7 linked regions of the Mus musculus genome follow. The protein of the gene in region 7 interacts with the protein of the main gene of each other region in a pairwise test. Links are inferred from orthologs where the notes say so. Each region holds a gene or a part of one and is shown on either strand. Other genes may lie near its edges. The genes, in order: Patl1, Scnm1, Tfap4, Kifc3, Pqbp1, Magoh and Golga2.

Evidence for each region.
Region 1: the proteins of Golga2 (region 7) and Patl1 interact in binary tests that used the Homo sapiens proteins (3 or more experiments, as listed by UniProt). The two-hybrid records come from large-scale screens. The link is inferred for Mus musculus from reciprocal best matches to the Homo sapiens genes GOLGA2 and PATL1.
Region 2: the proteins of Golga2 (region 7) and Scnm1 interact in binary tests that used the Homo sapiens proteins (3 or more experiments, as listed by UniProt). The link is inferred for Mus musculus from reciprocal best matches to the Homo sapiens genes GOLGA2 and SCNM1.
Region 3: the proteins of Golga2 (region 7) and Tfap4 interact in binary tests that used the Homo sapiens proteins (3 or more experiments, as listed by UniProt). The two-hybrid records come from large-scale screens. The link is inferred for Mus musculus from reciprocal best matches to the Homo sapiens genes GOLGA2 and TFAP4.
Region 4: the proteins of Golga2 (region 7) and Kifc3 interact in binary tests that used the Homo sapiens proteins (3 or more experiments, as listed by UniProt). The two-hybrid records come from large-scale screens. The link is inferred for Mus musculus from reciprocal best matches to the Homo sapiens genes GOLGA2 and KIFC3.
Region 5: the proteins of Golga2 (region 7) and Pqbp1 interact in binary tests that used the Homo sapiens proteins (3 or more experiments, as listed by UniProt). The two-hybrid records come from large-scale screens. The link is inferred for Mus musculus from reciprocal best matches to the Homo sapiens genes GOLGA2 and PQBP1.
Region 6: the proteins of Golga2 (region 7) and Magoh interact in binary tests that used the Homo sapiens proteins (3 or more experiments, as listed by UniProt). The two-hybrid records come from large-scale screens. The link is inferred for Mus musculus from reciprocal best matches to the Homo sapiens genes GOLGA2 and MAGOH.

What each region holds. Positions count from the first base shown.
Region 1 is NC_000085.6:11,932,899-11,936,398, forward strand, and holds part of Patl1 (protein PAT1 homolog 1), read left to right. Parts: intron 1-596; exon of another isoform or gene 597-730; intron 731-781; coding exon 782-841; intron 842-2,780; coding exon 2,781-2,929; intron 2,930-3,500. UniProt on the Homo sapiens protein: RNA-binding protein involved in deadenylation-dependent decapping of mRNAs, leading to the degradation of mRNAs. Acts as a scaffold protein that connects deadenylation and decapping machinery.
Region 2 is NC_000069.6:95,131,213-95,135,263, reverse strand, and holds the start of Scnm1 (sodium channel modifier 1), read left to right. Parts: upstream 1-1,251; 5' UTR 1,252-1,368; coding exon 1,369-1,419; intron 1,420-1,635; coding exon 1,636-1,706; intron 1,707-1,975; coding exon 1,976-2,064; intron 2,065-2,152; coding exon 2,153-2,247; intron 2,248-2,350; coding exon 2,351-2,439; intron 2,440-3,237; coding exon of another isoform or gene 3,238-3,277; exon of another isoform or gene 3,278-3,458; intron 3,459-4,051. Other genes in the region: Lysmd1 (lysM and putative peptidoglycan-binding domain-containing protein 1), read right to left, coding at 268-447. UniProt on the Homo sapiens protein: As a component of the minor spliceosome, involved in the splicing of U12-type introns in pre-mRNAs. Plays a role in the regulation of primary cilia length and Hedgehog signaling.
Region 3 is NC_000082.6:4,556,921-4,561,175, reverse strand, and holds the start of Tfap4 (transcription factor AP-4), read left to right. Parts: upstream 1-1,455; 5' UTR 1,456-1,659; coding exon 1,660-1,748; intron 1,749-1,788; exon of another isoform or gene 1,789-2,511; intron 2,512-2,518; exon of another isoform or gene 2,519-2,589; intron 2,590-3,218; exon of another isoform or gene 3,219-4,184; intron 4,185-4,192; exon of another isoform or gene 4,193-4,255.
Region 4 is NC_000074.6:95,099,328-95,101,942, forward strand, and holds the end of Kifc3 (kinesin-like protein KIFC3), read right to left. Parts: intron 2,191-2,615; coding exon 2,082-2,190; intron 1,347-2,081; coding exon 1,342-1,346; 3' UTR 1,320-1,341; intron 1,126-1,319; coding exon of another isoform or gene 1,100-1,125; 3' UTR 501-1,099; downstream 1-500. UniProt on the Homo sapiens protein: Minus-end microtubule-dependent motor protein. Involved in apically targeted transport. Required for zonula adherens maintenance.
Region 5 is NC_000086.7:7,896,201-7,900,453, forward strand, and holds the start of Pqbp1 (polyglutamine-binding protein 1), read right to left. Parts: upstream 2,801-4,253; 5' UTR 2,571-2,800; intron 2,437-2,570; coding exon of another isoform or gene 2,418-2,436; coding exon 2,351-2,417; intron 213-2,350; coding exon 101-212; intron 1-100. Other genes in the region: Timm17b (mitochondrial import inner membrane translocase subunit Tim17-B), read left to right, coding at 3,244-3,269. UniProt on the Homo sapiens protein: Intrinsically disordered protein that acts as a scaffold, and which is involved in different processes, such as pre-mRNA splicing, transcription regulation, innate immunity and neuron development.
Region 6 is NC_000070.6:107,878,441-107,882,554, forward strand, and holds the start of Magoh (protein mago nashi homolog), read left to right. Parts: upstream 1-1,314; 5' UTR 1,315-1,417; coding exon 1,418-1,505; intron 1,506-2,452; coding exon 2,453-2,511; intron 2,512-4,114. UniProt on the Homo sapiens protein: Required for pre-mRNA splicing as component of the spliceosome. Plays a redundant role with MAGOHB as core component of the exon junction complex (EJC) and in the nonsense-mediated decay (NMD) pathway.
Region 7 is NC_000068.7:32,298,326-32,301,825, forward strand, and holds part of Golga2 (golgin subfamily A member 2), read left to right. Parts: intron 1-274; coding exon 275-313; intron 314-560; coding exon 561-623; intron 624-706; coding exon 707-800; intron 801-878; coding exon 879-985; intron 986-3,359; coding exon 3,360-3,418; intron 3,419-3,500. UniProt on the Homo sapiens protein: Peripheral membrane component of the cis-Golgi stack that acts as a membrane skeleton that maintains the structure of the Golgi apparatus, and as a vesicle thether that facilitates vesicle fusion to the Golgi membrane.

The sequences.
Region 1 (3,500 bases), on a different chromosome or scaffold from region 7:
AATTGGTGAAGGGTGAGGAAGGAGGAGGGTAATCTCTCCCTCCATGTGTGGTAGGGTCTGCTCTCATGCCTCCAGGGCCAGTTCTACATAGCCTTCCCAACCCATCCCTGTAGTAGCTCAAGCCAAGACCCTACCGTGGTCTCAGGTGGCAACACCGGCTACTAACCTCAGGCTGTTCCTCACTACCCTCAGGTCTCTAGTTGTGCCTGTCTTCATTGTGCCCACATCCCTCTATTTATCTTTTCTTCCATTTCTCCACCACTTACTTGCTCTTAGTGGTCTTTGAGGGTCTGGGATCATCTGAGGAGTGGTGTCAGAGTGCTGTGCCTCACTTGTGCGTTATGGTGCCTGGCAGGGGTCCTTTTGGGCATGGTCTGCACCTCCCAAGCCTGTGTAGCTCTGGACTGGTTGGTGCTCATCTCAGGTTAGCTCCCTGTCAGGGGCCCCGTGATGCCAGTCTGGTAGTTGTTTCTGGCTCACTCCTGCTTGGGGCCAGAGTCCCAGACAGGGTTCTTCAAGTTTTTGGCTTGTTCCCCATCCTGGGAGTTCATCGGGACTTGCCTGGCACCTGATTGGTAGTTGTCTCAAGCTAGCGTCTTTTCAGGCTACTAATCATTCAGATAGTCATAGGTCAAAGCACTGAGCATAGACATAGACTTTCTCCTCTCTGCGCCTACTGACACAACTGCAGGCACACAGCAGCCACATTTGTAGTGCTTCTAAGGGCAGAGTAAAATGTTCTAAAGAATTTTTACTGAATAGTCTTTTTTTTTTTTTTAAGGAAACAAAAGAAAAACAAGTTCGGGATAAGAGAAGAAAAACCCTTGTTATAATTGAGAAAGTAAGTTTTAGAATTTATTTCTATATTTAGTTTCAATTTAAAGGACTATCAAATATATGTGTACCCAAGAAGTAGAAGAATGATCAGTAAACCAGCATTTTTTATTATATTACACTTTATGTATGGGGTGGCATTGTGCATGAAGGTCAGAGGACAGCTTGTAGGGCTGGGTTCTTGCCTTCTGCCATGTGGGTTTTGGTTCTCAAACTCAAGACTGGCTTGGGTGGGTAGGTGCTTTTTGCCTGCTAAGTCATCTCACTGGTCCCTGTTCTTTTATATTATGTAAGAATTGGCTTGTGGTAAGCTCTTGTTGTTTACCAGAGTATTTAGAAGTGATTGTGCTACATACCTTGCCTATGGGATCCTAGAAAGAACACTGCACTGGGGTTTTGTTCACTGCTCTTCAACTAATTACTTTTGAGCAGGACACCTTTTGTGATATATAAGTGTGTGTGTGTGTGTGTGTAGGTGTTTACTCCAGCTTGTGTGGAAGTTAGATGATAACTTAAGGGAGGCAACATGCGGCTCCTTCCAACACAGATGAACTCAGGCTGTCAGCAAGCACCTTTACCCATTGAGCAATCTCATCAACCCAGGTCATCTTAAGCCTAATTAAAAACAGGAATAGTTGCTCATGAACTGATTTAGTTTTACATCATTTATTGGGTGAAATGAGATTATACATATAGACTGTCTATAAAGCATACACCATGTTCAAGACTGTAGAGCTGCAGACTGTCCCTTTTCGGAGTCTGTAACCTGAGACTGAGTTATTTATACTTTTATGCTGTCCTCAGTTTCTTTGTGGAGACAACTATAGTAGTTTTGTTTTGGGGTTGAGTTTGCGATGAGTTGAATACCTGTGAACTGCTTAGACTACTGGTGTCAGCCAGTAAAATTAACTTTTTACCTGGTTGGTGGTGATGCACAAAATCCCAGCATTCAGGAGGCAGAGACAGGAAGATCTCCCAGTTTAGCCTGATATACAGAACGAGTTAACAGGATAGCCAGGGCTACACAGAGTAACCCTGTCTCAAGAAACGAAACAAAAAGAAAATTTGCTTGACTAGCAAAATATTTATCAGGAATCCAGGGTGGTGGATTTTACTCCCAGGGCAGTTTCTAAATGTGAGGACTACATAGTGAATTCCAGAAGGACTACAAAGTGAGACCCTATCTAAAGATTGCCAGGGCTAGAGAAGATGGTAAAATGTTTGTTTGAAGATCAGAGTTTACATCCTGTGCATTCACATAAATGCCAGGCAGGTATGGCAAGCCAATGCTGAGGAGATAAGAGATTAGGATCCTTGGAGGAACCTGGCTAGTTAGGTAAGCCTACTTGGCTACCTCTGGGTTCAGGTGGGAGATGATGCCTCAATATAGAAAGTACTGAAAGATGGAGAAAAACGGCCAGCAATCAAGCCCTGGCATCTCCACACTCTCAAACAGCCTTCTCACTGGAAGGTGGCAGTGTTACAGTAAGTTGGGTATTTCAGCCTAACATTGCTGCTAAAAGCTGGGCAGTGGTGGCGCACACCTTTAATCCCAGCACTTGGGAGCCAGAGGCAGGCGGATTTCTGAGTTTGAGGCCAGCCTGGTCTACACAGTGAGTTCCAGGACAGCCAGAGCTACACAGAGAAACCCTGTCTCAAAAACAAACAAACAAACAAACAAACAAAACATTGCTGCTAGAAATTTTGGGAAACATAATTACTTCACTATTTTATTATTTGACTAACAGTCCAAGAGAGAGAAAGGATGATGGTTAAAGGATTATATCACCATGTTCCCCTACATTTAAAGGAGCACCTTTTTAAAAATTTCTTTTGTTTAAATTACATGCTGGCATTTATACTAGTTAGTCCTAAACTGTGAAGACATTTATCTAATACTCTGGTCCTAACCTGCCATGTTGTGGCCTATTCTGTCTCTCTCCTAGACCTATAGTTTACTCCTTGATGTGGAGGATTATGAAAGGCGCTATCTCCTAAGTCTAGAAGAAGAGCGGCCTGCCCTGATGGATGAAAGAAAGCACAAAATATGTAGCATGTATGACAACCTGAGGGGCAAATTGCCTGGACAAGAGAGGTAATTATTGTGCTTTTAGAGGAGATGGGAGATTCCCTCCATTGCCAAACAAAACTCCACATACTTGGGATTATGATATACTCTGTCCAACTATTCATAAGCTTAGCATCTATCTTGGGTTTTGTTGTTTTTGTTTTGAGAGAGTCACATTGTGTGTCCCTGCCTATCTTTAGTTTCACAGAGATCCGGTTGCCTTCCAAACGCTGGTATTAAAGGTGTAGACCTTTGGTTACTTGTTTTACAACCTCTTGGAATGTGCTCTGAGTAGGAGAAAGTCTGGTTACCATCTAAAAGCAATTAACTGGTGACACTTGGGAGATTGGCACAGAGTTCTCATTGCAGCTTTGATTATTAGAAAATGACCTAATAGCAGTCCCATTAATAAAAGAGCTTAATAATCACAGATATAATTTTAGGAATTCTTATAGGATCATCACTAAGTCTTAAGTCATCTATTTGTCTATATAACATCACTACTAGATGGTACATCTTCATGCAGAGATCTGCTCCAAAGGGGTGTGCTCCTACTTAGTGATTGTTATGTATGTTTAATAATGACAGGAAAAGCATA
Region 2 (4,051 bases), on a different chromosome or scaffold from region 7:
GTTTATCAGTCTTAAGTTGATAGGGACACAAGTCCAGTTAATGGCTGTAAGCCCCGCCCCCACTCACCCACCTCCCTCACCATCTACAGGAGTTGCTCCTCCCACTGGGATAGTTGGGCAGATCTGTCCCAACAGTGCTCTGCTGAGATGTGAAAGCAAAATAAGGAAGAAAAAAAACAGACCATAATAGAATTTAAATAATGTGAGAGGGGGCATCTTAGCGGGCCACCCACTTTCTCGGGACTATCTCAATTCTGGAAGACTCACCGTTACCCCGTATTTGAGTGCTAATCCAGCCAGGGTGTCTCCAGGCTCCAATTGATGCTCCAGGCGTCTTTCCCTCACTGGGGAGCAGGATGATTGTACCAGGCTTCCATAAGAACGAGCACGGCTCCCATGCAGCAGCCCTGACCCCCCGAGGGGAGGCTGTCTAGAGGGAGAAGCCATCTCCTCACTGTCAAGACCTAGGGTCACAACTGAGGGAAGCCCAGCTAAGTAACAGTGACGGCCGAACCCAAGGAATGGATATTCAGATAATTCGTTTTCTCTTCTCTCGTCTCTCTACAGTCTCCCGACTCTCGAGAGACTACATTCGTCGTCCTCCTCTTGCTGCTTCTTGCCGTGCCTGGAGTTACTGTCCGTCTCTTAAGAAGTCTGCCAGGCCGGTTACATTTCTCTTTCCACGAGCTCCTTACCCATAAGTATCTTCCCTGAGCTGTCAGTCGCTGACCCGGTTGACTTTCGACGCCCCCTCCCCAACTCCTCGCAAGCCTGATCTCTGACCTTTGAACCCTAGACACCCTCATCAACACTCTTCCCTCAGTGTATCCCCACATCCAACAGTCGGGATGCCGGGTGCTCCCACATCCTCTCTGTTCCAAATAAGGCCCACCCCAGGTAGGTTGTGGCTGAGGAGTACGAGCCTGAGGACAGCAAGAGTTTGTAGTATATAGTCCACTGAGATCCCTGACGCCTCGCTCCACATCAGGAAGGTCCCACCCTGAAATTCCGGCTCCACATACAGGATCTTGAGTCTCCGAACACCTGGATCCTTCGAGATGTGAGGTCCTGTGTCCAGGTGAGCAGTGTGCTCTTCAAAAAAATAAAAAAATAAAATAAATAACCAAAAGACTTCATTTCCCAAAAGGCACAGCGTCTCAAAGTATTGTAGGAAATGCAGGCCCCCTCAGGGCGCTGGAGGCGGGTCTTCCGGTTCGCGCGACGCAAGCGTGGAACATCATCCCCGGAAGTACAGATTCAACAAGAAAGAAACCGGAAGCAGAGAAGGCGATAGTGTACTCTTTCTACGGTGGCCTAAAGGAGCAGCGAAGTAGGCGTAGGGGAATTTATCGTAGTCTCACAGTCGCTATGTCTTTTAAGAGGGAAGGGGACGACTGGAGTCAACTCAATGTGCTCAAAGTAAGCCTTAGTGAGAGTCTGATCACCTTCAGCCGCCCTGTTGTTTTGTTTTGTTGCTCTGGCGACATCTAGGGGAGGGCTTAGGGGACCAGAACTGAGTGGTGACCCCTACTACCCTATGATCTGCATAGCCCCGTGTGCCATTTGACTCCTTATCCATACTATTTCATTTCCATCCGTCCCTCTTACTCATTTCTCCTATCCTGCTCCCTGCAGAAACGGAGAGTTGGGGACCTGCTGGCTAGTTACATCCCTGAGGACGAGGCACTGATGCTGCGGGATGGACGGTGAGAGCGAAGAGTGGATCAAGCCTGGGGATTCGGGGATCAAAGGCTCAACAAACTTTTGTCACTAAGGAGTTCAGGAGTATAATAGGACTCTTTGGCTGGAAGTGAAGTGTAAGGGGTGGAGATCGGGAAACCTGGGAGTTGGTGGTGGAGTACTCTGACAGAAGTAGGACCTACTCACCATAGCAAGAACACCCCGACTGCAGGCTCTCGAACACACAACATACACACCACACACCACACACATCATTCACTTCTCGTTTCCCTAGCTTTGCTTGTGCCATCTGCCCCCATCGACCAGTACTAGACACGCTGGCCATGTTGACAGCCCACCGTGCAGGCAAGAAGCATTTGTCCAGTAAGTATCAGAGAAGTGGGGAGGGCGGGAGATGGAGAGCAAGCCACCAGGCATTGTGCTTTTCATTCCTCCTTGCTTTTGTTCTCAGGTCTGAAGCTTTTCTATGGCAAAAAGCAAACAGGCAAGGGAACAGAGCAAAATCCAAGACAGCAGAACGAATTGAAGACAGAAAGCAAAACTGAGGTGAGAGGGCATCAGGTGTGGTTTAGACAGGGCTATACTTCACACAACAGGCTTGAGGGAACGTTTGCTCCTAACAGCTCTAACTCTGTCTCTTCATCACCAGGCTCCTTTGCTAACCCAGACTCGAATCATCACCCAGAATGCTCTACACAGAGCTCCCCACTATAACAGTTGCTGCCGGAGGAAGCACAGGTCCGTGGAATGGGAAAGCCAGGAGTGGAAAAGGGTAGAAGGAAATAGATGACTTTAAAGTTATTGCTCTCCAGATTGTATTCTGAGAAATAATAATCTTGTGGAAATATTTTTTTTAAATGATGGTAGGGGCTGGACAGATGGCTCAGCAGTTAAGAGCACTGACTGCTCTTCCAGAGGTCCTGAGTTCAATTCCCAGCAACCACATGATGGTTCACAACCATCCATAATGAGATCTGGCGCCCTCTTCTGGGGTGTCTGAAGACAGCTACAGTGTACTCATATATATAAAAGAAATCGTAAACCATCATTTTTTCAGGTTTTTTGTTTTTTGGGTTTTTTGTTTGTTTGTTTTTTGAGACAGGGTTTCTCTGTGTAGCCCTGGCTGTCCTGGAACTCACTCTGTAGACCAGGCTAGCCTCAGAAATCTGCTTACCTCTGCCTCCCAAGTGCTGGGATTAAAGGCGTGCACCACCACTGCCCGGTGGTTTATGATTTTAAAATAAATTTTTTAGCAAGTGGAAAATTGTAGAATAATCATACTTATTAGGAACATTAGGGCTTGGTGAGATGCCTCAGTGGTTAGGAACGCAGGGGGCTCTTCCAGAAGTCCTGAGTTCAATTCTTAGCAACCACATGGTGGCTCACAACCATCCAAAAGGGATCTCTTCTGGCATGTAGGTACACATGCAGACAGAGCACTCCTATATTTTAAAAAGTGCAATAAATAAATACATTCAAAAAGAGAGAATTGTAACATTAGTAGAGCACGGTGGTGTACTTTTTGTTTGTTTGTAGCCCTGGCTGTCCTGAAACCCTGCTATTTAGACCAAGGTGACCTCATATTCACAAAGATCTGCCTGCTTCTATCCCTCAAGTGTTGGGATTAAAGGTGAGCACTCCATGCCTGGCCTTGGAAAATCTTAAGACAAAAACTTAGAACCAGCCGGGCAGTGGTGGCGACGCCTTTAATCCCAGCACTTGGGAGGCAGAGGTAAGCAGACTTCTGAGTTTGAGGCCAGCCTGGTCTACAGAGTGAGCTCCAGGACAGCCAGGACTACACAGAGAAACCCTGTCTCGAAAAACCAAACCAAACCAACCAACCAACCAAACAAACAAACAAAAAACTCTTAGAACTATGTATTAGAGCATAAGGAATATGGAAAGTTACAAAACTTATGGAATATCTGTCTATATTGAGGTAATTTATTGTAATGACTTACAGTTTGTAGTCATGTTGTTGGGTTACAACAATGGGCAGCTGTGAATGAGAAGTCTAAGAATCTAATAGTTGCTCAGTCCCACAAGGCTGGTTGTTTCAGCTGGTCTTGTATAAATAGGTTCTAAAGATGTGCTTGGCAAGTAAGTGCAAGCAGTGGAAGAAGAGTGAGTCTTCCTTCTTCCAGTGGTCTTATGTAGGCCTCCAGCAGAAGGTGTGGCCTACATTAAGGCGTGTACACCACACCTGGATCTGGGACTTGCTTTGTCCCAGGCTGACTTTGAATCAGAGTTCTCCTTGCCTCCTGGGATTAAAGGCATGTTATACCTTGCCTGGACCTAAGCTTTTCACAGCCACTGTGCCTCAAGATCTCCATGCCAAGATCCAGATCAG
Region 3 (4,255 bases), on a different chromosome or scaffold from region 7:
ACAGCCCAGCCGGCTAGGAAGTGCTGCTTTTCAAGTTACGTGTCCCTGGGATTAGATGCTAATTGATCTGGCATCTACAGTTAGAGATCAGGTTGGTAATATTGAACAATGTTTTCTAATAATACCCAACAATTGTTATAAATAGAAGTATTTCAACTAAGAGGCTCGATTTGGGTGGAACCTTGGAAGGCAGCGAATGGGTCTGGGAAAGGCGCTGAGCTGGAGCGAGGACATTCCGAGGCAGGCGTGGGCTTCCTGAGCCTGGGGCCAAGCCCTCCAGGAGTCTGGGGAGGGCCGGGACCGGAAGGTGGGGGCGTGTCAGAGGACGGAAGCTCACCCCTAAAACGTCCCCTCCCTTGCCCCAGACCACCACTCCCCCCCCATTGTAGAGCGCGCCCTCTGGCGGTGGAGCAAGTTTTATCCCGCCTTCCCCATGAATGAGAAGCTGCAGCCCGCTGCGCGCGAAGTCGGAAAGTAAGGTAGTGAAAGAGGCAAGACAGGACCTGGCAGCCACCACCAGACCTCTAATGGATATTCGGACCGCGCTGGCAGCCTGCCTCAGGGCCGCTGCTGTTCTGGCTTGCCTCCGCCCTTCCCTTCCTTCCCACTTGCTCTCTCTTCCTATGGCAGCCCCAAACATCCGAGGTACCTTGCGCACCTGCCTGTACCCTTCGCAATCTAATTTCCTAGCACCAGTCAGAGTTTGGGCCAGGCAGCCACCTGGGTAAAGACGGAGGGAGGAGGCTGGCGGGTGGTCAGAGTCAGCCCCAAGTTACTTGTGGGAAACAGTGGCTATGACGCAAGTTTCCAGGGGGCCCGGGTCGGCTCGAAAGGGAGCGCGCCAGAGTGGCTCTGCTCCGCTCCGTGCAGTGGCAATTATGAAAATGCAAAAGCCTGAAGCACACACCCAAAAGAGCCTTCCCTTTGCTGCTGCAGCCCCGCCCAGCGCGTCCTCCAGGATAGCGGTGCGCAAAGACCCCGCACTGGGCAGTCCTCACCGGACCCTGGACTGCACAGACTGGGATCCCGTGCGGTGGGGCTGGCCTTTTTTTTTTTTTTTTTTTTTTTTTTTTTCTTTTTAGCTACGCTTGCCAACCTGTCAGCTGATGGACCTCATCACCCATAGTGGCGCATGTAGCTGGGCCGCTGTTCACTCCATTCACATCGTGTCCCCCCACAGCCAGCTGTCGACCCCTGATTCCTGATCCCAGGGTTAAGTCTGCAGACCCATGTAGTAGTCGGTCCCAAGGAGCTTGCGCCCTTCTCGCCCCAGCATCCAGTCGCCCTGGGGGGGGCGCTGCAAATAGTCCTTTGTTTACATGCAATTCCTTACTCCGCGGAAGGAGGCCGGGGAGTGCTGAGTTTTCACCAGCTGTTTCCCGCCTTGAAACAGACATCTGATCAGCTGCAAACACACACACACACACACACACACACACACACACACATACACACGCCCGGGGAGGCAGGCTGGAGAGACCTCCCGCCCGCCCCTCCCGCCCGCCTCCCTCCCCTCGCCGCTGCTGCTGCTGCCGCCAGCATCTGGGACCGGCCGATTCTGCACCTCCGTCCGGCGCTGCCCTTTGATTCGGATTTCCATCTTGCATTCTCCGGCTGACCGCGAGACCTGGCTCGTGCACAGGAGGGGGGCCTATCGCTATGGAGTATTTCATGGTGCCCACTCAGAAGGTGCCCTCTTTGCAACATTTCAGGAAAACAGAGAAAGAAGTGATAGGAGGGCTCTGTAGGTGTGTACTGCTCCTCCCCCCAACCCCTTCTTCCCATTGCAGCCCCCGGCCAGCCCGCCCGGGCGGGTGCGCGTGTGCGCACGCATGGCTCGCGCCTCCGAGCTCGCTCGCCTTTCTTAGCTACTGGGTCCGCTGCAGTCTCTGGAACCCTGCTTGCGTTGCCTAGGGACCCTCTTCCCTTGGAACGTGGGGACCCCGAGAGGTTCTGTCCACTTTTGTCCGCTGCAGGCGGGCGAGTCGCGACGTTTGTAAATTGCAAACAGACCCACGTGGTGCTGCAGCAGTCCCGGCCATGCTTGCTGCTGGTGGCTTTCACCCAGCGCTTCCTCCTCCCCCCGCCAGCTTTGGCTTCCTTCCTTTTCCTTGCTTACTCGCGCTTTCTGGGAACCCTCTTCTAAGGAGGTCGTTTTGGGGGGGGCCCGGAGTGTGCGAGAGGACAGCTACAATGCTGCCATGCCGCGGTTCCAGGCTGCGGGGAGGGGGGGCGGGGAGCCGGGTGGTGTGAACGTTTGCAGAGAACAGGGCTGCAGCAGGGTTGGGGGCGTGCTCGCTCGAGGTTGCGAGGCGTACGTGGACCTTTAGTGGCCATGCTTCAAGCAGGGAAGTTGCGGTCCCCCACACGTTGGCAGTCACTAGTCGCACGTTCTCCGCCCGCGCTCGGGTGCTGTTTACTAGCGAGGCCTGGACGTGACTCTGCAGCCCTCTTGGAGTAGGCGGGCCTCTGCGCGCACGACCTCACGGGAGCTGTAGTTCTCTATGCCGGGTCGGTGCTGCATTGTGGGACTTGTAGGCGCTTCGGGGCCACGCTTTACTTGCACAAAGCTCGGCCGTAACCAACTAGGTGGGCTAAGCAGGCCAGGTGGGGAGGCCTTTTGATGAGGGTGCGTCTTAGGTTGCTTCAGGGCTCTAGTCTACTTCCTGTTGCATATGGGTCTGCAAACTTTGCTGTCCCACTTCTGTTCCTCAGTCATAAATGCAAAGCGTTGAATCTCCTGGTCGGGTGGGTGGTCGGAGGTCTCTCTTGAGATACCCCTTAGTGAGCTTGATCCTACCTAGGTTGCCCCAGATCCACTCGCTACTAAATCGCGATTGACCAGTGGCCGAATCTCTCTTAAACTCTTGTTAAATCGTCATGTCTGAGATTTCTATTGCCGGCCCTGGTATCTGCTCATTGAACCCTACAAGCCGGCTGGGTCCGGGCGGGGATGGTGGTGGTGCACGCAAGGAGAGGTTTCTCCAGCGCGCTTAAGTTTGAAACCGACGATCTCTTTCCTGCCTGCCGTGCTACTCTAGGAGCGTAATGGCTCCCCAGGGCTGGGGCCACGTGCTCCGACACCCCAGCCAGGCAGGGCTGGGGCTGGAGGAGGAGGAGCCCGCTGAGTGGCATAGGCTGGTTGGTAGACAGCAACGCCTGTGGGGCAGGTTGCTGCATAGGTATAAAATCCAGGTAGGGATCCCACTTTACTTTCAAGTTGAGAGCCAATACCTAGGGCCTGTTGGTGGGTCTAGCAGCTGGCAGCCCCCTCTAATCCCCCCCCCCCCAGCTGGCACTAAGATACGGTTCACCTGAGGGCCCAGCAGGTACAAAACAGCAGTAACTAAACTCTTGGACACTAAATATTCTGGGGACCTACTTGCTAGAATTTTCTCTTCGAATCACTACAATCTTGCTGTGAGTCCATTTGTTTTCTGATTTCTTTGTAAAGCTGGAGAAGCTTTATAAAGCTAAGAAGGCACCAGTTAGAGCAGATATTCAGCTGGACTCGATTCCTAAGTTTGCTGTTGTGCTGGCTCCTCTGAGCTGGCTTGGGGAGTGGGGAGTGAAGCCTGATTAGCTCCATATTCTGGAGAGGTCATTCTGGTGCTGGTCCTGCATTGGCTTTGACAGTAGGAACCTCTGGTTGCTATGCCTAAGCCTTTCGGTACTCTTGTCTTCACTCGGTCCCTTTCTCCAGACCTGTGTTGCTGGAGGGCAGTAGACCTGCCCCGCCCCCAGGAACATAGGGTGTTTTCAGGTCTAGTAATTGAGGCACCACAACCTGCCTACAGGCACACAGGTCCTTAGCCTGTCTTGCTTACAAGGAGACAGTTGTACACTGGGCATGGAGGAACATAGCCTCTAGGCCTGTTCATTTTCAGCTGGAGCAACAGCTGGGAGATCTGTCCTGGATGGAGTGTGGGCTGGGCAGGAGCTTATGGTGGATGGACTCTGGTTTGTTTCAGACTGTGGACTTTGCTCCACCCCTCCCTGTTTAGCTGGGTTCTCTCTTGTTTGACTCCTATGCCTTCTGGGCCAACCAGAAGGAGCCATAGGGCAGTGTGGCACACTTTGATGTTTTGCTTGACGTTTTGGACCTTCTGCCTAATGGTTCTGTGAGACTTGGATATAGGCAGTGCCTAGAAAGTGAGATCCAGACTCTAAAGAGCAGGCGCATGGTAATGTCCAGTGGCTGTGTGTGTGTGTGTGTGTGTGTGTGTGTGTGCAAGTGTGCGCATGTGCATAGGTG
Region 4 (2,615 bases), on a different chromosome or scaffold from region 7:
TCTGGATGCCACCAGAGACTAGACCACGATGGTTGCATGACCTTGGAAGATTCTAGAGTGGTTTTCACAGGCCACAGGAAACTACTTTTATACTTGTGGCATCCCTGAGAGTCTGCGCTCCAGAACAGCCTGTTGATGCAGCCAGCAAGAAGGGAGGAGCCCTAGCAAGCCCTGTTCTCCAGGGCTGGGACCGGGGACCAGATACAAACGCATACATCAGGTCACTACTAGTTACAGTTCCAGACTGGGAGGAAAGGCTGGCACAGGATGAGCAGGTCTTTGAAGCCTAGTTTTCCTTCTGTAACATGAGGTGATACTGCAATGGGATGGAATGGTTATAGGGGCCCGCAAGGTGCTAGAAATGATATAAAAAGCATGGGGGACACAGTGTCTTCAGTGACAACTTGTGGAGTCTGCATGGTCAGCCAGCAACGGGAGCAACAGGGTACACAATGCCCACTCTCCATAGGGTCTCCCAGTACTGACGATTCAGATTGCACTTGTGTAAAAAGACATTCATTTTAATAAGTAAAAATGGCTAAGCTTCCAAAAGTTCTTAAATAGGATTTGGGGAGAGGAACATGTTGAGAATCAGTGGGCAGGGAGAGTGCCTGGTGTCAGGCAGATGAACAGAACCCAGCCCTTCCACACTGGCCTCTGCCAGCCATAAATATAGCCCAGACCTCTGACAGGGTGAGGACTTCTATATACACCTAGAACATTATATACATGCCCTGTGAGGGCTCCCCTCCTCAGGAGGGTAGATAGAGATGCTCTTGCTCTCCCTAACCCCCCAGCTGGTTCCTCAAGTCTTCTCAACTAGTAGAGAACAGTCCAGCCCAAGGGCCAGGTGGGGAGAGAGCCCACCCTCCCAGCAACGGCTAGACTCCCAAGCCTACCACCAGGCAGAGTGCCATCCCTGCCCTTCCAGAAGCCCCATGCTTGGGTGCCCAGAGCCACACAGAGACTCGCTTCCTTCTGAACATGTTTCTCATCTCTGAGGAGAGGCAGGGCGGGAGAGCCTCCATCTCCTGCATTCATGGTAGGTGGGTGTTACAGCAGGTCGCCAGGCCACAGGGCCTGGCAGCGTGGCACATCTTCACACAGGCACTGGCCTCAACTTCCCTGTAGAAAAAGTAGAAAAGGAGCGCTCAGCCTCTGGCCTCAGGAGGCTTGCCCTTAGCAGATGCAGGAGGCCAGCAGAAGCACATGGACAGGGCAGCAGAAGGCAGGACTGGCTCTGTACAAGAGCCCTGGCAGAGCCCTGAACCAACAGCAGGCAGCAGGTGGGCAGCCCCAGGCCGCTGACCCCCACTTACCTGGAGACTGCAGCCCCAGCTGTCAGGCTGAAATCAAAGTGATAGATGTCTCACTTGGGGAGGGATTGGCCCAGCTGCCACCACCCCCTTTGGACCCAGTGAGGGGCCAGGCCCCCTTTTCCACCGGGGATGTCTGGACTGCTTTGTGGAAGGTGGGTAGAATCAGGTACCAGAGGAGCCCCACCAAGGTGAGGGCTCCTATATACACAGTGTGGGCCTCAAGTCAGGAGCACATGCTAGGAGCCTCTAGGGCCAGGCCCTCTGTCCCTTTCCAGGGATTTAGTAAAGCTTTCTGACTCTTGCCCAAGGCAGGCAAGGGAAGGAGACGAGTTCTAAACATGGTTTTATGGAGTTGAGGATGGAACCCAGGGCTCCCATATGCTCAGTAGGCAGCTTCCCTTTGTGGGGTACATTCTCGCTATGTAACTTCCACTAGCCTGGACCTCACTGTGTAAACCATGCTAGTTCAGAGCGTGCTCCTTCTGCCTCTCCCTCTGTCTCCCAAATGCCAGGGGCACAAGGCACAAACTATCGTGCCCAACTACCCTTTCTAGATTGTTTGGAAACTACTGATCAGGTTGGCCTCAAATCTCCACTCCTCTTGTGTCAGCCTCCCGAGCAGCTGAGATTCCAGGCTGAAGCCGCTAGGCCTGGCTCCTAGGCTGCTTCCTCCCTCTTTATAAAACAGCTTATCCTTAGCTAGGAAAGGACAGCCTGGCTCCCTCCTGCCCTCCCATCCAGTCCACTTCTAGACAGGCTTACCTGACGGCTGCAGTTTCCTTCGGATGGAACCTGGGCGGCTACTGGTCCCAGAGCCAGGGGCAGAGTGGGCTCGTGCTGTAGGCTGTGGTGTCTGGCAAGCCGGCTCCCACTGTGAGCAGAGATGCCAGTGGGTGTGGGAGCCAAGGCTGCCCCAGCTCATTCATCTCCAACCACTCTGCTTCCCTTCTCTGACAGTGTTTGTTCATCTACAGAGGGGACTAATGACCCTGCCGCCCTGAGAAGTCACGGGACAGGAATTAAACATTGTCTACAATTTAAAATGCATCTACCATGGGCAACTGCTGGTCTCCAAGACAAAGATGGCTGAAGGGGTCACGGGCATACACCCTTAATCTCAGCAGTCAGGTCTCCTGAGTTTGAGGCTAGCCTGGTCTCCAAAGCAAGCTCTAGGCCGGTCAGCGCTACATAGTGAGACCGTCTCAAGAAAGCAGAAGCACGCCTGAGCTCTGGCCTCACCCACCTTTGTGGCAGCTTCTACTCTCACTACACCAGCCTGTCTGCCCTTTCCCTACT
Region 5 (4,253 bases), on a different chromosome or scaffold from region 7:
GCACATCTCGTCCCTCTCGACCCACAGTAAGAGAGAACACAGGAAGGGCAAGGCCACCATGTTGTCCATGAAGTCCATCCCACCATGTTGGTAGGCTCACCAAGAAGGGTCAAACACCTTGTACCAGCTCGGTGGCAGACCCTCTATCCGGGTGGCCTCATAGTCAACAGGATCATCATCGTAGTCTTCAGCAATAATCTCTTCCTCTGGCTCTGGAAGAATGGGGAAGGAGAAAAGCAGTTGAATTACCCGATAGTGATGGTGTGTGTGTGGGGGTTCTCCTCCTATTCTCAGGCATGGAGACATGACTGACCACTCACATCTACACCACCATGCAGGGAAGACAGAAGTACATGCTCAGCGTTGATAATCTTCAAAAATTTGATATCCAATCAATTCCTGAGTTCAGATACCATGTGGCATTGTATTATCCCAACGTATTTCAATGAAATGGCTTGGAACAGTAGGGGGGTTGCCTAAAATAATGGCTAATCTATCCATATCCTGAACTTCAATGGGTTTCTGGCTCATGAATATTGGATAACAAGGAATTGATGTAAACATTGCTTTGACTCTATTCCTAGGGGCGGATATACAGCAAGCTTGCAGCAGACATCTAGTGATAGTAGAATAAAGATGGTGTCTCTTATCAGCCCAGTGCCTGGCCATCAGTAAGCACATAACAGATTTAAGCTCTGGGTATAATTAACAATAAAATGCATGTGCCTACAACATCATAGTGACACCAAAAGAGATGTCAGGTATGATTGTCCATATTGCTAATAAACACTATCAGCAGTGGGCTCAGTACTCAAAAAGATTTAAAAGAAACACTAATGATATGGGGTTTGCCTGAAGCCCTGGATTCATATCCTAACACCCCCAAGAAAACAAATATCAGTGGTCATTATTAGTACTGTTAGGCACAAAGTCTATGTCTGGCACAAAGTAGTCTTGTAATAGATGTCAGTTGTCCATACAATAATATGATGTACTTTTCCAGTGCCTAGCACACCATATAGGTCAAAACTCATGCCCCACTTTATTACTATTGGCAATAATGTATAATTAGCACCTAGTAATACAGTAAATCTTATTAAGAGATCATCTTTTTTTTAAAGATTTATTTATTTATTTATTATATGTAAGTACACTGTAGCTGTCTTCAGACACTCCAGAAGAGGACATCAGATCTCATTACAGATGGTTGTGAGCCACCATGTGATTGCTGAGATTTGAACTCAGGACCTTCAGAAGAGCAGTCAGTGCTCTTAACTGCTGAGCCATCTCTCCAGCCCCCAGATCATCTTTTTTGACTGTTAGCATATCATACGTGCCAGGCACTTAGGCAGCCTTAAATAAATGTTAATGGTTATGGTGCCCATCACCCAAGTACCTCTGCTGAGGTAAACATAGAGCATCAGCATCCTGTCACTGTATTTGGCACATAGGAGACTGCAGGATAGATCAGATGCCTTTTTGGACCCTTAATCCTAGCATTAGGAAAGCGGAGACAGGCAGATCTTGATGAATGCAAAGCCAGCCTGATATACAGAATGGGTCCCAGGCCTGCCAGAAGTACAGAATGAGACCATGTCTCAAACATTAATTAGTTAAATACCATGCAGTCATGGGTTTATTTTACTTATTTTCTGATACACACACATATATATACACATATATACATGTGTACATACACACACAGACACATGTATATCTGGCCTAGAATTCAGTATGTAAACCAGGCTGTCTCCTGTGATCCCTTTTACCTGCCCCAGCCATGCTGGGGACTACAGATGAATGCCACCATACTTATGTCTATTTGTTTTTTATTTTTTGAAGACTGGGTCTTGCCAAATTGCCATGTCTGGCCTTGACCTCCTGGACTCAAGCCATGTTTGTAGCTCAGCCTCCTTAGTACCTGAGATATTTGTACCTGCCACCGTGTCCACTTGATTCATGACTTAAATTAAAGCTATCCCTCCAGCCTTACACTTCACACAGCACCCACCAACCACGAAGAAGTAATGAATATCAGAAAAAATTATATTGACAACGAGATGCCTGCCAGGCCATGCAAGATACCAAGTATCAAAACCAAGGTGCCAGTCAAGGAGATATACTTCAATAGAGCGCATCCAAGAGCTCTGGTCTAACCCCAGCAGTACAAGGGGGCGGGGGAAGATGCACACTAGGACGGCAGAAGATGGCAGAGCACTTACTTAGCAAACACCTAGGTTCGACAGGGGCGGGAGGGGGCGGAGAAAAGGGGGAATAAAGAATAGAATAAACAGCAGAACGTCTATTAACACTGGCACATGATAGATGCATCTGCTTTTAGTTTTCTCACCCGGCTCCAGATGTTTGAGGATGCCCCTCTTCGCCAAGCGGGTCTGCAGCGCAACAGGAAGCGGCATAGTGGGTAGCTGACCAGACCTAGAAACAGACAAGACAGTACTGAAGGGCAGATCTGATTAACATTTCAATCTGGATAGCCAGTAACCACGCGTGTGTTCACACACACACACACACACACACACACACACACACACACACACACACACACACACCTACGTAACTGCAACAGTAGCTGGAAGAGAACAAAAATGCGTGCTAAAAGATAAAAGAGATATGTAGCAATATGGCCAGAATTAGGATCAGCAGAACTCTCCGGACCCAGGCACTGGAGACCGGATGGACCAAAGACCCAGTTCCTCTCTAGACCAAGGCTCCACCCATCACCCAAGGGACCAAGTGCCACACACCCGCAACCCAGAAATGGGATCACCCAACGTTCCTCAAAGTCCGCACGGTGGGCGGAACCAAGGCGCTAGGATGGGGGAGATACAATGCCAACGCCATCTCCAGCTTTAAAAGAAAGCTTACACCCCAGCCTTACCAGTACAACTGTGCGATTAGTCAAAGTCTATCTCCTTACCCTCCTCTCCCTCATTGGCACAGTGCTTACCAACACCGAAGGGCTCTTGGTTTAAAGCACAACAGGCTCCTCGACTCTCCCCAGGTGCAATTAACTGGTCGCATCCGACGCTTACATGGAACGGATGTGGCCCTTCTGGCTAGCCAATAAGAGCGCGCCGTTGGCCTTACGTAAGCAGAGAAGAACCAATTGTTCCCTTGGTCTACGTACAGCGCCTCAGAGCTTGTGGGCGTTTCGGAGCGGGAGGGGGACGGGGGGAGTGTCTCGCCCGCGCCACCGACTGCGCCAGGCCGGACTCTGGCGCCATGGAGGAGTACGCTCGCGAACCTTGGTACGGCGATGGGCACAGGCTTCGGGACAGTCCGCGCGACGCTCAGGCGGACAACGGGAGGCGGGCGGGGAAGGCAGGGGCTGCAGTGTCAAGTCCCTGACCCGGGAGGCTCGGAAACTTCACTGCCTCTGCGCATCCGGCATGGCCCCTCCCACTCGGACTTCGTCAAAAAACCGCCACCGTGGAGTGTCCCAGTATGTGCGGTGTGGGACAAACTATCGCACTGTTGCCCTGGCTCTTCTCCTAGACCCCCTTTGTGAGCCAAAAGAGAAACGCTGGGCAGATCCATTCCGGCGGTGAGGGAGGAGAGGCGTGGAGCCAATATCCACAGGGTTTCTTCGTGTCGCTTTTCTCAGGCTGGCTTTTGACATAGGATAGGGCATGTGTGAACTCACTGTGGGCTAAGCCAGATGGCACCTGGCTTTTCCGCACGGTCTTTTGATTTGTCCGATTTAGGTTTTAAAAGGACACAAGGGTTTCTCTGGACGTGCTTTTTGTGTCGAACCGAGTGTCAGTCACCCTGTTTATATTTTACTTAAATAACGTTTGCTAGTTAACACTATTGAAGCCTGACACGACAACTCCCCCCCCCCCCTCCCAGACACGGTTACTCTGTGGTGTAGCCCTGGCTGTCCTGGAACTCACTCTGTAGTCTTGAACTAAGAAATCCTCCTGCCTCTGCCCCCCAAGTTCTGGGATTAAAGGCGTGAACCACCCCTGCCAGGCACATGACAACTCTTACTGATTTTTGATAGTAACAAAAACCATTTTGTTTTTGGCTCCTGGTTCTAGGATTTGAGGGACTCTGTTCTTCAAATCTAGTTTCACGTAGAACTCTCTGAGAATACTGTATTGTCAGAAACAGTCATAGGGGCTCAGTGGTAGAGTAGTTGATTTAAGCAAGAGACAGATTGTGGGGGACAGGGGACCTAGATTCCAAAGCCATTTGATTTTTGATAATGACAAAAACAGTTGTATTGACGC
Region 6 (4,114 bases), on a different chromosome or scaffold from region 7:
ACCACACCTGTCGTGTGTCAATCTTCTATGACTAGAATTTACCGTATTTCACCTACTTGACCTTAAAATTCCCGCACCAGAAATTTGACCTTTCACAGAGGTCAACTTTGGCTCTTGAAAATGAACCTCTTGGGTAGTGGTCTCCACATTTGACCCACCTCGTTTTTGTTTCAGTTTGTGTGTGTGTATCTTACTTGGTAGTCCTGACTGGCCTGGAACTCACTATGCAAAGAGCAGTCTAGGCTTAAACTCACAGAGGTCTACTCCACTCTGCCTCTGAAGTGCTGGGATCAAAGGCATTGGCCACCATGCCCAGTTCTCACCTGGGTATTTTTTTAGAGGCTTCAGTGAAACTGGATTCTGTCAGCATGTGGCTAGGGCTGAGAATCGCTGCTAAATAAGATGACCAGTAGGAGCCGGGCGGTGGTGGCGCACACCTTTAATCCCAGCACTTGGCAGAGGCAGGTGGATTTCTGAGTTTGAGGCCAGCCTGGTCTACAGAGTCAGTTCCAGGACAGCCGGGGCTACACAGAGAAACCCTGTCTCGAAAAACAAAACAAAACAAGACAAAAAAGCCTAGTAGGGATCCAACATTCATTTAACCGACCCACAACACCTATCTAGACATGTTAGCTTGAAAGGGAAGAATGAAAGGCAACTCGTTCATGAGTGGTGACCCTCGTGAGGATGAGGTAGGAGGGTTTGTGGTTTCAGGTCAGTCTGGATCAGGTAGCAGTACTCTGCCTACACGTAAAATAAAGAAATAGCAGAAAGGGATGTTAGCTAAATGCAGGCAAGTTTCAGGCAACATTGTGGAATGGGAAAGGAGTCATTCTTAAAAGACAGCTAAGTAAAGCCAACTTTATTTTTCGGGACAGGGTCTTAGTATGCAGCCACTGGTCTCAAACTCTCATTACGCTCTTTAGACATTTACTACTAATCTCCCGCCTCAGAGCCACCTCCTGATCTACACACTGGGGAGTGGAAGAAGGCGGGGGATGGGGGTGGCAGCGTACTCATAGATGAGCAAATCATTTTGCCTCCTTTTACTGTGGAAACCCATCTAGGTTCAGAGTGTGAATAACCTCGTTCGACTCACTTGTCTCTTTAAATTGAGGTTGCGCCTGACAGGACTCTAGCGCTCAGTGTTGGGCTGAAACCCAGATGCAGTTCTCGGATCCCAAGATCTTCCAGAACTCTCGATATACAACCAAGGGGGCGTGGCGATCTTGACCCAGCGTCTAGGGGAGGGGGCGTGGTAATCTCGTTCCCGCCTCCGGAGAGTGAGAAACTCTTAGTGTCGCGGTGGCAGACGTCATTTCCGCGCGCCACCATTACGCCAGTATAAGACGTAGACCGCAGGCCGTGGTAGTGTCATCCGTTCCTAAAGTTCCGTCCTCCTTGTCCCTTGCGAGGCATGGAGAGTGACTTTTACCTGCGTTACTACGTGGGCCACAAAGGCAAGTTCGGTCATGAGTTCCTGGAGTTTGAATTCCGACCTGACGGTAAGAGCGGCCTCCCGGCTGCGGGCAGTGGGACCGGCCCCGGGGAGGGCGGAGAGAAGGCGGGCTGCGGAATGTGGCGAAGCGAAGCAAGGGACGCCGACCACCGTGCTGTTGGGTCGTGAAAGAGGCATTCTTTTGTCGGCTTCATTGGTTCTTTCTCTTCATCCGCTGGCGATTCTCCTTCGTAGCTTTTTAAAAAGCCAGGTTGCTTACATTCAACAAAGATTTAATGTCCATCTGAGAATGGGCTGTTTGTTTTCCAGTCTGGGGACAGAGCAACAAAAATAAATTTTCCCCTCTCGTGGAACATGTGTTTCAGAGCCGGAAGAAACCACAGCGATCTCTTGTAGTGTGGAGTGATCAAAAAGTAAGGTCGCTTTTAAAGAGCAGTCTGAGGAGTGTGAATTTGAATTAAGCCGTAATTGAAAAGGGATCAATTTTTGAAGTACAGGAAGAAAAGCATCTACAGGAGTAGCAAGTGTCATAGGACCTCAAAGAGCCAGACATATCCAGGTGGTCACTGGGGTGACTGAGAGACAGTAGTAGGGGGTGATGTTAGTCAAGAGCCTCGCTATACAGGTGTTTGTAGTGCTTGCTTGCATACAGCTTCCTTAGTTTTCAAAGTCCTTTCCCAACCCAGTTGAACATCAGCATGTTCTTCTCTGTGCAGCTAAGATAGCATTAAAATTCCTGTTTACAGCTGAGAACGTGTTCTTTTGCTACATCATGGCAGCCTTTTCCCGGGACTCTAGTTTACTGTCAGGTCCTTCTTCTGTTGTTCAGTAGTTTCAAGTGAAGTACCAAAAACACTACTATCACAGCTGGGAAATGGGTTGAAACATTCGATATAATTTAGGCAAAGCTCATATTCTTTGGAGGGTAATGGTGCTTTGTTCATGTTTTCTAATACGTTGCATTCTTTTTTTTTTTTCTTTTTTCTTCCGAAGGTAAATTGCGATACGCCAACAACAGCAATTACAAAAATGACGTCATGATCAGGAAAGAGGTACAGACCTTTCCTTCACTACGACTTAGCCTTTGGTTTCCCATTGCTTATGTTCTCTCTGGTAATGAAAGATGAAGTGTAGGAAGCGAGCACTTATTTCTAAGCAGCTAGATTATTTCTCTGATTCACTCCCCCCCCCCCCCCAGTGCTGAATCAAAAGCTAGTAAGTGTTTGAAATCTGTGTGTCTTGGTTTGTACCCTCGGTGTGCCCCATACTGACCATGTGACCTCAAAACAAGTTCTCTGGCTGAACTTGGTCTCTGTGTTTTCATCTGTAAAACAAAGGATAAGAAAACCTACCTGTGACTCCCAAATGTTATCATAGAATTAAATATATTAGTCCCTAGTACATAGACTATGAAGACAGCATTGACTTTGCTTCTGAAGAGGAAACGGATCAGGGGAAAGTCTCAACCTCGAATTACGCTCTTTAGAGCTAAACCATAGACATTTACTACTACTCTCCCACCTCAGAGCCCCCTCCTGATCCACACACTGGGGAGTGGAAGAAGGCGGGGGATGGGGGTGGCAGCGTACTCATAGATGAGCAAATCATTTTGCCTCCTTTTACTGTGGAAACCCATCTAGGTTCAGAGTGTGAATAACCTCGTTCAAACAATATGTTGTTTAATCCTGATTATAAAAAGCCCATGTGACAAAGTATTCTGCCATACTTTCAATCAGGAAAATCATGGCCTAGATATTAAATCTGAGGATAGTTACTCTTGCTTGTAAGAGATAATGATAGGCATTTGGGCATATCTGAATCTCAGTAAAGGTCATGTGTTCCATTCTGCTGGGATTTCTACTATATCATTAAGGATATGACAGTATGTCTTCATACAATTTAGCAGTTAATTTTATGCCGAATCAGCATCATATCTTTTTCTCTTTGTTTGGTTTGGGTTGTTTGTTTGCATGACCTAGTGCTCCTCAGAAGCAGTTGGTAGAGTGCTTGTCTTCATGAGGCCCTGGGCTTCATCCTTAGCATCACAGAAACTGATCATGGTAGCCATGTTTATATGTCAGCACTGGGGAGGTGAAAGCAAGAAGCTCAGAAGTTTAAGATCACCAAGGCCAGGCTGCGAGGCATGAAACCTTGTCTGTAAGCAGCAGGGTGTATCAGTTGTCTGTTACCACTATAACAATATATCTGACAGAGGCTATTGCCGGATTATTGTCAGGAATGATACAGACCTGCAATTCCATGACTTTGTAGTTGAAGGCATGGGGATTAGAAATTCAAGTTGGACTCAGTAATGGTGGTGGTGATGGTATAAGACTTTTATCACTCGGGAGGCAGAATGAGACGAATCTCTGAGTTTGACGACAGCCTGATATACAGAGCAAGTTCCAGGTCTGTACAGAGAAACTCTGCCTGAAAAAGCCTTTTTAAAAGAAATAATTAGTTCATAGCAAGTTTGAAGCCAGTGAGGCTCAGTGAAATTCTCAAAAATAAAGAAGAGATTATTTAGCTCATCACTCCAGAGGTTCAAAATCCAAACACCGCTGCAGTAGTGAGAATGGGTGTGTGGCCACGCAGTGACCTCTCTCACCAGGAGAGAAACACACAGACATTGGAGGCCCACAATTCCTCTGCTGA
Region 7 (3,500 bases):
AGTTTTAATTCGACACACTCTGCCAAGTCCCAAGTTGGCAGAGGGTAGTCATCTTTCTCACACTTGTTTCTAGAGTTACTCTCCTTTACTGTGAACCCAGTTGCACAGTTGTGAGTGAGAGGCAGGGAGAATAAATACCCTGGGAGCTTGAGGAATTGGTTAGCTCATGGACCCATGTGGCTCTGAGCACCTTTCTCAAATCCATCCTCCCGTTCGGTCTGGGGTGTCATGAAAGGGGCCAGGCCTAGTCCGCTTCCTTTGACTCTTCCCACAGAAACAACAGAACCAAGACACTCTGGATCAACTGGAGAAAGTAATGTGATAGATTCTATGTTCGCTCTTTTCATGACTGATGGGGGTTGGGGAGACCTCAGAGGTGCAGGCTTCGGTCTTGCTTTCTTCTATCCTGGAGAAGACTCACCCCACAGGGTGTCCTCCATAGGATCTTTGATAACCTGACCTCATGGTGTGCCTGTCCTGGTGTCTTTGTCTTTCTGGGGGCTCGTCCCTTGGGCCACCCCTGCTTCCCCACTAAGAGCTGTACTTCCTTGTGCCTGCAGGAGAAGAAGGATTATCAGCAGAAGCTGGCAAAGGAGCAGGGCTCTCTCAGGGAACAGCTGCAGGTGAGAGGTCTGGGCAGTGTCCCCGAGTTCTCTGGAGAGTGTTGCTCTCCCTTCTCTCAGCATTGGTGGCCTTTTCTCCAAAGGTTCACATTCAGACCATAGGCATCCTGGTGTCTGAGAAGGCAGAATTACAGACGGCCCTGGCCCACACTCAGCAAGCAGCCAGGCAGAAAGCAGGTAAGGCCTGGGAACCCTTCCGCCTGTACTGATGCTGCGGCGGGCCCGAGGGCTCCATCTGGACCTCTCTTGTTCCAGGAGAGTCGGAGGATCTTGCCAGCCGACTACAGTCCTCCCGACAGCGTGTGGGAGAGCTGGAGCGGACACTGTCTACCGTGTCAACGCAACAGAAACAGGCAGACAGGGTAAGACAGGTCGATTCTCTGGCCATCAGCAGCTTCCTGGTGGACAGTGAGCCTGAAGGGCTTTGCTGCATGGCCGGGTGTCTCACAGCATACACCACGCCAATTCTTGCTGCTTTTGTTGTGTGGTTGGTAAAAGCAACCTGGGGGATGGGTACCCTGCTGGGTAACTGGGGACTGTATAAACAAGCACTGAATGCAACACCTAAAGGCAGGTGCCTGCTGTGACCCTGCTGTTTGTCTGTGGCCTTGACCAAGTGCTAAGTGATGGGATGGGTGCTCATCTCTGAACAGATCTTCAGATGGTGCCATTTGTGGAGGGAGAAGAATGTGCGTGTGCAGTGTATGCAAATCATGTCTGAGAGGATTGGTAAACTTGGGTGGGGAGGGTGACTGAATGGCCATCTGTTCAGAGGAGAGCAAGACTGAGATAGAAGTTAAATAAGAGAAGTATCCTCCGCTTATCTGCAGCCCCCAGGGGAAAGGGCCTAGAGAGTTAGACACCCGAAATGTTCAAGTCTCAGCTCTGTTGACCTAAGTGATTTCAGGCCAGCACGTAGACTTTGTGTGCTGTTTCTGCCCAGTGTGGGTGATGGCAACTGTTCTAGATGTGTATGAAGATTGCATGGGATTATTAGCAACAGTGCCTGGTAAGTGCTCAGTGAACAATATTAACAACACCAGTGGTGTCCAAGAGTTCCTGGCCCAATGCTAGCCTGCTGTAAATGTCAATTTTTTAAAACTTCATAAGGCTCCCACCTTACTGTCCAGAAGCTAAGATCACAGTCTTAGGCCAGCGTATTCAGGTCTCATTCTACCTGACTCATCCCTATGGAGTTTTTAAAAGTATAACTTTATTTACTCTGTGTGTGTGTGTGGGGGGGGGGTGCCTTTATTTATATGCACCAAATGTGTGCCTGGTGCCTACAGAGGGCAGAAGACACTTGGATCCCCTGGAACTGGAGCCATTATGTCAGTGCTGGGAACCGACTGGGGTCTCCTGGAAGAATAACTGTCTGCTCTTTTACTGAGTTTTGTTATTGTTTTTCTCTGTTTTCTATTTATTTTTGTTGAGATGGTTCCCATGTAGCCGTGGATGGCTTGGAACCCTGCCTTTGCCACCGAAGCACTGGGACTAAAGGTGTTTGCCACCACTGCCACCATCCTGCTCATGAGTTCTTATTAAAAAACAACAACAAAAAAGGCATTACTAGTGAGGTGATGGTGGCCCACACCTTTAATATCAGCACTTGAGAGGCAGAGGCAGAGGCAGGCGGATTTCTGAGTTCGAGGCCAGCCTGGTCTACAGAGTGAGTTCCAAGACAGCCAGGGCTACACAGAGAAACCCTGTCTCGAAAAAAATCCAAAAAAAAAAAAAGAGTAGCAGTAGTGGGACTGGAGAGATGGCTCAGCAGTTAAGAGCACTGACTGCTCTTCCAGAGGTCCTGAGTTCAAATCCCAGCAACCACTTGGTGGCTCACAACCATCTGTAATGGGATCCAATTCCCTCTTCTGTTCTGAAGACAGCAACAGTAGTCGTAGTAACAACAACAATAACAACAATAATAATACAAATGAGTGAAGCAGATGGAGTAAAACGTACTTGGAAACCCAGCACTTGGAAGAAAAGGGCAGGAAGATGTGGAGTGAAAGGCCAGCTCCATCTTCATGAGAATATGTCTCCTAAAAACCATGTGACACTGGGGAAGGTGACCATGCCTGTGATCTCAGCACTCGGGAGACTGAGGCTGGAAGGTTCCAAGGCCAGCTTGTAAATTCTAGGCTTACCTGAATCCCTCAGACTGTGTTTGGGAAGAAAAATTAAAAGAGAGCTGGGGTGTTGTTGGTCAGTAATAGAGCAATTGACTGGCTGATACAATGGCTTGAGTTTGATCCCAGCCTTGCAAAAAATAATACTATTATTAATTACAAGCAAAATCTCCAGGGCTGGAGAGATGGCCTGGTAATTAAGAGCACTGACTGCTCTTTCAGAAGACCCATGTGGTGCTTCACAACTTTATATAACTCATGCTTGTGGAGCACAGACATATATGTAGATAAAACACGAATACATATAAAATAAATAAAACAAAGGAACCCTGTCTTAGGTCCCTGAAGGCTATGATCAGTGTAGACCTTTGGTCCCAGCTACTGGGGAGGCTGAGGCAGAAAGACATTTTAGCCCAGGCGTTTGAACCCATCTTAGATAACATAGTGTGACCCCACCTTAAAAACAAAACACACAGAATCACAAATGAAACTTAGAAATGTGATTAGGAAGAGGAAATGTCACTTTGGAATATGACCGTGGCCATTGGTGTTGTGCCAGCTGCTGCTTCAGCCTGCCAGGTCCAGACTCATCTTTCTCTTTCTGCAGTATAACAAGGACCTAACCAAAGAGCGGGATGCCCTCAAGCTGGAGCTGTATAAGAACAGGTAAGAGTGGGAAGGAGGCCGGGCAGTGGTGGCCCATGCCTTTCATTCCTAGCATTTGGGAGGCAGAGGCAGGCAGATTTCT